2 linked regions of the Macaca fascicularis genome follow. The protein of the gene in region 1 interacts with the protein of each later gene in a pairwise test. Links are inferred from orthologs where the notes say so. Each region holds a gene or a part of one and is shown in the gene's direction. Other genes may lie near its edges.

Region 1 (3,562 bases):
TCACCGTGTTAGCCAGGGTGGTCTCGATCTCCTGACCTCGTGATCCGCCCGTCTCGGCCTCCCAAAGTGCTGGGATTACAGGCGTGAGCCACCGCGCGTGTCCGAGGCTGGTTTTCTTTATCTCTTCTGAGGGCTGGAAGCGCTGAGGTGCAGAGAGTGAGGAGATGTGGCTAAGGTTCCACGGTCCTCACTATACCTACCCACTGCAGGGAGCACCTTTCTGTCATGGACAGTTTCCACCCTTGGGAAACAGTGCCATCTTGTGGCAGTAAATAACCATCTCTGCACTTAACAGAACCCATATCCAGCTCTGTCACCAGATACGTGCACTGTCCTGGCACCTCAGATGCCTGCTGTATGTGACTCCTGGATGTCTAATAGGCAGTACAAGCATCCCTGCCACCTTCCTGCCTTACCTCCTTTCCCTCTCTCCCCTCCCACTCTCTGCCCAGCCCCAGTGGCTCCTTACCTATCTGTTAGCACATCATGCCTGTCCTTACGCCAGGCCTTCGCACCATAGAGTCCTCTGCCTGAGATGCCCTTTTCCCAGAGACCTGGATGATTCCTCCCTTGCCTGCTTCACCTCCTTCAGGTCTTGCCTCGATATCAAGATGTCACCTCAATGAGGCCTGCTCTGGCCACCCAATTTAAAGTTGCTAGCTTCACCTACAGCCCTTTCTCACCATCTTTTCTGCTATATTTCTCCCCTTTAGTCCTTGGCATGTGGCCCCTCCCAGTTGTTTGTTTTTGTTTTTGGTTTTTGAAATGGAGTCTTGCTCCGTCCCGGGCTGGAGTGCCGTGGCGCGATCTCCGCTCACTGCAACCTCCGCCTCCCAAGTTCAAGCAGTTCTCCTGCCTCAGCCTCCCGAGTAGCTGGGATTACTGGTGCCCCCCACCACAGCCAGCTAATTTTTGTATTTTTAGTAGAGACGGGGTTTTGCCATGTTGGCCAGGCTGGTGTCGAACTCCTGACCTCAAGTGATCCACCCACCTAGATCCCCTAAAATGCTGGGATTACAGGCATGAGCCAGCTATGCACGGCCCGTCCCAGTTTTTTTGCTAATTTATCTTTACTTCGTAGCTTACTTCCAGCTCCCAAGGGTGACGATTTTGTGTTTTGCTCTGTGCTGTGCTTTAGGGCCTGGAACAGAGTTGACTCACAGTAAGGTTCAGGGTGCTTACTGAGTCAAGGAGTACCCTTCTACCTATGTCAAGGCCAGGAGCGGTGGCTCACGCCTGTAATCTCAGTGCTTTTGGAGGCCGAGGCAGGAGGATTGCTTGAGGCCACGAGTTTCAGGCCAGCCTGGGCAACATAGTGAGATCCCATCTCTACAAAAAATGTTAAAAATTAGTTGGGCATGGTGGCATGTGCCTGCAGTCCCAGCGACTCAGGAGGCTGAGGCGGGAAGATGGCTTGAGGCCAGGAGTTCGAGGCTGCTGGGAACTATGATTGTGCCACAGCAGTCCAGCCTGGGCAGCAGAGCAAACTCTATCTCTTAAAAAAAAAAAAAAAAAAACAGGCCGGGCGCGGTGGCTCAAGCCTGTAATTCCAGCACTTTGGGAGGCCGAGACGGGCGGATCACGAGGTCAGGAGATCGAGACCATCCTGGCTAACATGGTGAAACCCCGTCTCTACTAAAAAATACAAAAAACTAGCTGGGCGAGGTGGCGGGCGCCTGTAGTCCCAGCTACTCGGGAGGCTGAGGCAGGAGAATGGCATGAACCCAGGAGGCGGAGCTTGCAGTGAGCTGAGATCCGGCCGCTGCACTCCAACCTGGGCGACAGAGTGAGACTCCGTCTCAAAAAAAAAAAAAAAAGGGGGGGGATGTGGAGGGCATACATGGGCTAGGGGACAGAAAGGCAGCACTGGGGGTGCCCAGTGGGAGGGGAGGTGCTGGGCAGCCCCCGCCCGGCCTCAGGCAGCGTCCTTTCCTGGCCGCCCCAGGCATTCTCATCACCACCATCGCTTCCAAGGGTGAGCTGCAGATGTGGCCCGAGCTGCTGCCCCAGCTCTGCAACCTGCTCAACTCGGAGGATTACAACACTTGTGAGGTAGGCGAGAAGCCATAGATGGCCGGAGCGGGTATGGGGGGCTGGGACCACCACCCACCACCCACCTTTGTCTCTCTGCCCCTCTGCACTCAGGGAGCCTTTGGAGCCCTGCAGAAGATCTGCGAAGACTCATCAGAGCTTCTGGACAGTGACGCGCTCAACAGGCCCCTCAACATCATGATCCCCAAGTTCCTGCAGTTCTTCAAGCACTGCAGTCCCAAGATCCGGTGGGTGCAGCTCTCTGGGGGCTTCAGGGAGCCTGGAGTGGGCAGGTTCAGGGTGACCCGTGTGTCTGCTCCCCGCCAGGTCCCACGCCATCGCCTGCGTGAACCAGTTCATCATGGACCGGGCTCAGGCGCTGATGGACAATATTGACACCTTCATTGAGGTGGGACGCTGGGCTGGGGGTGGACAGGGTGAGGACCAAGGGCCCCTACAGCTGACCCTTTTCCTCCCTGCAGCACCTATTTGCCCTGGCCGTGGATGATGACCCCGAGGTGCGGAAGAATGTGTGCCGCGCCCTGGTGATGCTTCTGGAAGTGCGGATCGACAGGCTCATCCCCCACATGCACAGCATCATCCAGGTGTGCATGGTCGAGGCCAGCCCAGGAAGGCAGGCAAGGGGCCGGTGGCAAGGGTCAGGGAGCCACCCCTACCCAGGCCAGGCCTCAGCTTCTCCCCGCTATCACAGTACATGCTGCAGAGGACCCAGGACCATGACGAGAACGTTGCCCTTGAGGCCTGTGAGTTCTGGCTGACGCTGGCCGAGCAGCCCATCTGCAAGGAAGTCCTGGCCTCCCATCTGGTCCAGTGAGTACTGCTGCTGTCTACTGTCCCACCCCAGCTTCGACCCCTTTCTATGCCTCTGCCTTCCCTTCTGGTCACCTGCTATGCTTCTCTCAGTCCACATCCTTGTCAGTTTATATTCAGTGTATATTTATGTGTAAGTGGCAAGAATGCCACTTTTTAAAGACTTCAAAATTAGGTAACTGTTAGGTGGAAAGAAACGAAAAATCAATGGCCGTGCACGGTGGCCGACGCATGTAATCCCAGCATTTTGGGAGGCTGAGGCATGGCGGTCACGAGGTCGGGAGATCGAGACCAGCCTGGCTAACATGGTGAAACCCCATTTCTACTAAAAATACGAAAAATTAGCTGGGTGTGGTGGCCCACGCCTGTAGTCCCAGCCACTCAGGAGGGTGAGGCAGGAGAATCGCTTGAACCCGGGAGGCTGAGGTTGCAGTGAGCCAAGGTCACACCACTGCACTCCAGCCTGGGCGATAGAGCAAGACTCCGTCTCAAAAAAAAAAAAAAAAAAATCAACAAAGGCTTCAGGTGTGGCTGTATCCAGGAGCTCAAAGGATATGAAAGGCATCTATGTGGTCTCAGATCTGCTTCCCTTGTGTTGTCTTCATTCTTAGGCACATAGGTACAACCTTTCCTCTGGGTAGTGCTGTAGCCTTCTGTGCCCTTGCAGCTTAGGAACTTCCGAGTAAAGCAATTTTTGACC
Region 2 (3,562 bases), on another chromosome or scaffold:
TAACCTTCCAGAGACTGCTCTAGAATAGACCATAACACGTCTCTCTGAAGTTTTCCTACAATCCAGTTTTCTCTGTTTTAACAACTACAGCTTAATATCATTGTGGATCAGCCACATTTAATTTATTGTTTTCTATATGACTTAAATAATGTTAATACTGTAATCTCTCCAGGTGTCATTCTCTATATTCTACTTGTGGGGTATCCACCCTTCTGGGATGAAGACCAACACAGACTCTATCAGCAGATCAAGGCTGGAGCTTATGATGTATGTAATAACTATTTATATCACTTTAGATGAAGGTTTGTTTTTTGCTTGCTGATCAAGAGCCAGATCTTTTCATTTTTCTTTTAACTATAATTTTTACCACTTTCTCTTATTATTTCCCTCTCTCTTAAGGAAAGGGAAAAAGAAATGCAGCATATGTGTTCAGCTTATGTTTCCTTTTAACTCACTCTCTCCTAAGATAAAAAGAAAAGTCATGTGAAGTCTCTGAGGAAGAACTTTGTCAAAATGTTTGGATCTTAGTGCATTTTAAAAACATAAAAATTAAAATATTTCTGCTATAAAAATGATTATTGCCCATTCAGTTGAATTATATTCTCAAATACCTATCACATAATTTTACATTATATACCAACAATATTTTGCAGTGATCACATATCAAATAGAACATTATTCCACTATACCAGTTTCTGGGTTTTGTTTTTTGTTTTTGTATTGTTTACCTAATGGGATGCTATGCAAGCTTTCATTTGAAGAATGAGTTTCACAATTGAAAAATTTGAAAATCATAATTCTAATATATTTAATTTTTAATTAGAATATTTGAAAGTAGATATATATATACATATTCATAAATTAAGTTCAGAATCTGAAGAGGAAGTCTTTATCTACTTTCTCTTTATGGCTTAACTTTGTGTTTATGATATAATTTGCTCTCCTTTGATATGTATTCTTGTAAATACGATTTACCACTTTCTCTGGTTTCCTCTCATACAGCCCTAGGGAAATCCATGTGCAGGATCTGGGCATGCTTTCCATGTGTCATTAAGTGGAGTAACTATGGAGTAGCAATATTGGGTTCACCTTTTGTGCACAAGTTGAAAGCTTTATGTGAAAGTGAGAGGAGAAAATATAAAATGTCTGTATTGTATTCTATCATGTCTCATGAACTCTTCAGTGCATTTCTGATAAAATTTTCTATTTAGATGGATGTGTGTTTCAGTTAGCAAGAATTTAAAATGTATATTCTTTGAATTTCGAAGCATTCCATTATCCCTAGACTAGTAATTGAAACAAATTATTATTTACATGGCAACAGCTAGCACATTCACCATCTTTACAGACTAGAACCAGCCCCTTTCTGGGCAGACGTAGCCCTGAAAATGCACTGCTTGGTATACCGGAGGAGTGCTTTCATGAAAATTAGAAAACTGAGGAAAAAGTTCACCTTTCTTCATGCTGAACCTACCCCTCATTTGCTATCAAAAGACCTGTACAACATTTAAGAAACAGCCTTGCATGTTTCTTTAGTAGCTCCTAACAGTTAGCAAGCTTTCACAACTGCCAAACATAAGCTTCAGGAATTAAAAAATGACAATTGTTAAGCTGGCAAGAAATTACAGGTATTAGAGTCAATATCATTTTTCTCGTGCTTTATTTTGCCAGTGAGTCACAAGTTCCCCATTTTAAAACTACCAAAAATAGACTAATTCCATTGACACAGTGACAATGGCTTTATTTTTCAAGATTGTCTACACAAATTCATGAATTGGGAAAATAACTTGATATTCTATCATTTTGCAACTAATGTAGTATAAATTTCCCTTAATCATTGAAGGACAGTATTTCTACTAAACATGCTAATGATATAAAAGTAATTTATTATCAGTACAAAAAAATAACATGAAGAGAGGAGAAGTAGCTTTCTTATATAGTCTTATTGTAAAAAAATATTAATAATGGGAAGTTATAAGATTTGATTACTTTCATATACTTTGGTGAAATTTGTAATTGGGCAGATTAAACTTCTTGAAGGGTTAAAATGAAATCTTGCTGAAGCTCCTATAGCCTCAGATTCTTCTCACTACAGCACTCCAAGTAGCCATGATTAATAGGTCAGTTTTGGCACAGGAATTGAAGCTGTTTTATTACCTCTGCTATTACTGCTTATAAGTTGTGAAAGTATATAATACCTCATTTTGAACCTTGGCATAATATTACGATGGCATTGGTACATGTAGCAACCTCTTTGCTTTTATTAAGTTTTGCAAATAATTATGAGAAAGATTGTATAAAATTTCATGTTCAGATCAAAGCAGAGATACTTTGAGAATAGAAGATTCTTAAGTTCTTTTTTTCTGAATTTTAAAATGTATTTACCATATGTGATATGCAGCTCAGTATATATGTTGGTCCCTTATCAGATACTCTTTAATATATATAGTTGTCTACATAGAGGGGGAGAATAGATCTAAATGATTTTATTTATTTTAGATACAATTTAACTTATATAAAAAGTAAATTTATGAAGAAATTCACTACTTGAGGAAATGATTCATATAGTTGACTCTTCCCTGTTTGATTGAGTGTGTCTATTTTTTAAACTTTTTATAAATTTATATTTTTGAAGTTTCCATCACCGGAATGGGACACGGTAACTCCTGAAGCCAAAGACCTCATCAATAAAATGCTTACTATCAACCCTGCCAAACGTATCACAGCCTCAGAGGCACTGAAGCACCCATGGATCTGTGTAAGTAAAACTTCTCAAAAACTTCAAGAGCTAAAATGAAAAATAAGCTGTCCTTTAATATATTGTTTATGGATTTAAAATAACTTTGCAAAAAAAAGATGAAATTCAGAATGAATGAATTTTTGACTCAAGGTGTTTAAGAAAATGAATTTTATGATGGCGAAGAAATGCAATTTTCAGTAGCAAAGTCTGAATTGCATAGATTATTAAACAAATATTGCTTGCAGTAACAAAAGGAATGAGTATTCTTCGTATCAATTATTGACAATACTCGTGAACAAGGTCAAGAAAATAACACCAAAATTAAATGTATCCCAGAAGAAAAGATTTAACAAAGTTCAATTATTTGTCATTAGGCAACTTTAGAAGCAAGTATGAAGTTTGGCAGCTGAGAGTAGAGTTTTAGTGGCATAAAAGAATGGTCATAGTAGTCTGAATATTTTTTAGAAATATTAAGAAAAATAGTGTGAAATTTGAGGGGAATCTGAAGACTTCAGTAAATTTCTGAATGTGTCAAATGCTAAGATGATAAATGCGGCACTAAGTAAATGAAAGGCAGCCCAATCGAAATGTGATTGAAGACATTAAAATAAAGATAATTTGAGAAATTATTAATATTTATTTCTACACTTTCTGGTATTTTTATTTTGTTTTGTTTTGACACAGAGTCTTGCTCTTGTCACCCAGGCAGGAGTGCAGTGGCACAGTCTTGGCTCACTGCAACCTCCGCCTCCCAGGTTCAAACAGTTCTCCTGCCTCAGCCTCCCGAGTAGCTGGGATTACAGGTGCCCACCACCACACCCG

The links. The genes of interacting proteins can lie anywhere in the genome.
Region 2: the proteins of TNPO2 (region 1) and CAMK2D interact in binary tests that used the Homo sapiens proteins (3 or more experiments, as listed by UniProt). The two-hybrid records come from large-scale screens. The link is inferred for Macaca fascicularis from reciprocal best matches to the Homo sapiens genes TNPO2 and CAMK2D.

What each region holds. Positions count from the first base shown.
Region 1 is NC_088393.1:13,102,747-13,106,308, reverse strand, and holds part of TNPO2 (transportin-2), read left to right. Parts: intron 1-1,945; coding exon 1,946-2,052; intron 2,053-2,145; coding exon 2,146-2,279; intron 2,280-2,358; coding exon 2,359-2,440; intron 2,441-2,513; coding exon 2,514-2,636; intron 2,637-2,743; coding exon 2,744-2,862; intron 2,863-3,562. UniProt on the Homo sapiens protein: Probably functions in nuclear protein import as nuclear transport receptor. Serves as receptor for nuclear localization signals (NLS) in cargo substrates.
Region 2 is NC_088379.1:119,046,622-119,050,183, reverse strand, and holds part of CAMK2D (calcium/calmodulin-dependent protein kinase type II subunit delta), read left to right. Parts: intron 1-172; coding exon 173-267; intron 268-2,635; coding exon 2,636-2,758; intron 2,759-3,562. UniProt on the Homo sapiens protein: Calcium/calmodulin-dependent protein kinase involved in the regulation of Ca(2+) homeostatis and excitation-contraction coupling (ECC) in heart by targeting ion channels, transporters and accessory proteins involved in Ca(2+) influx into the myocyte, Ca(2+) release from the sarcoplasmic reticulum (SR), SR Ca(2+) uptake and Na(+) and K(+) channel transport.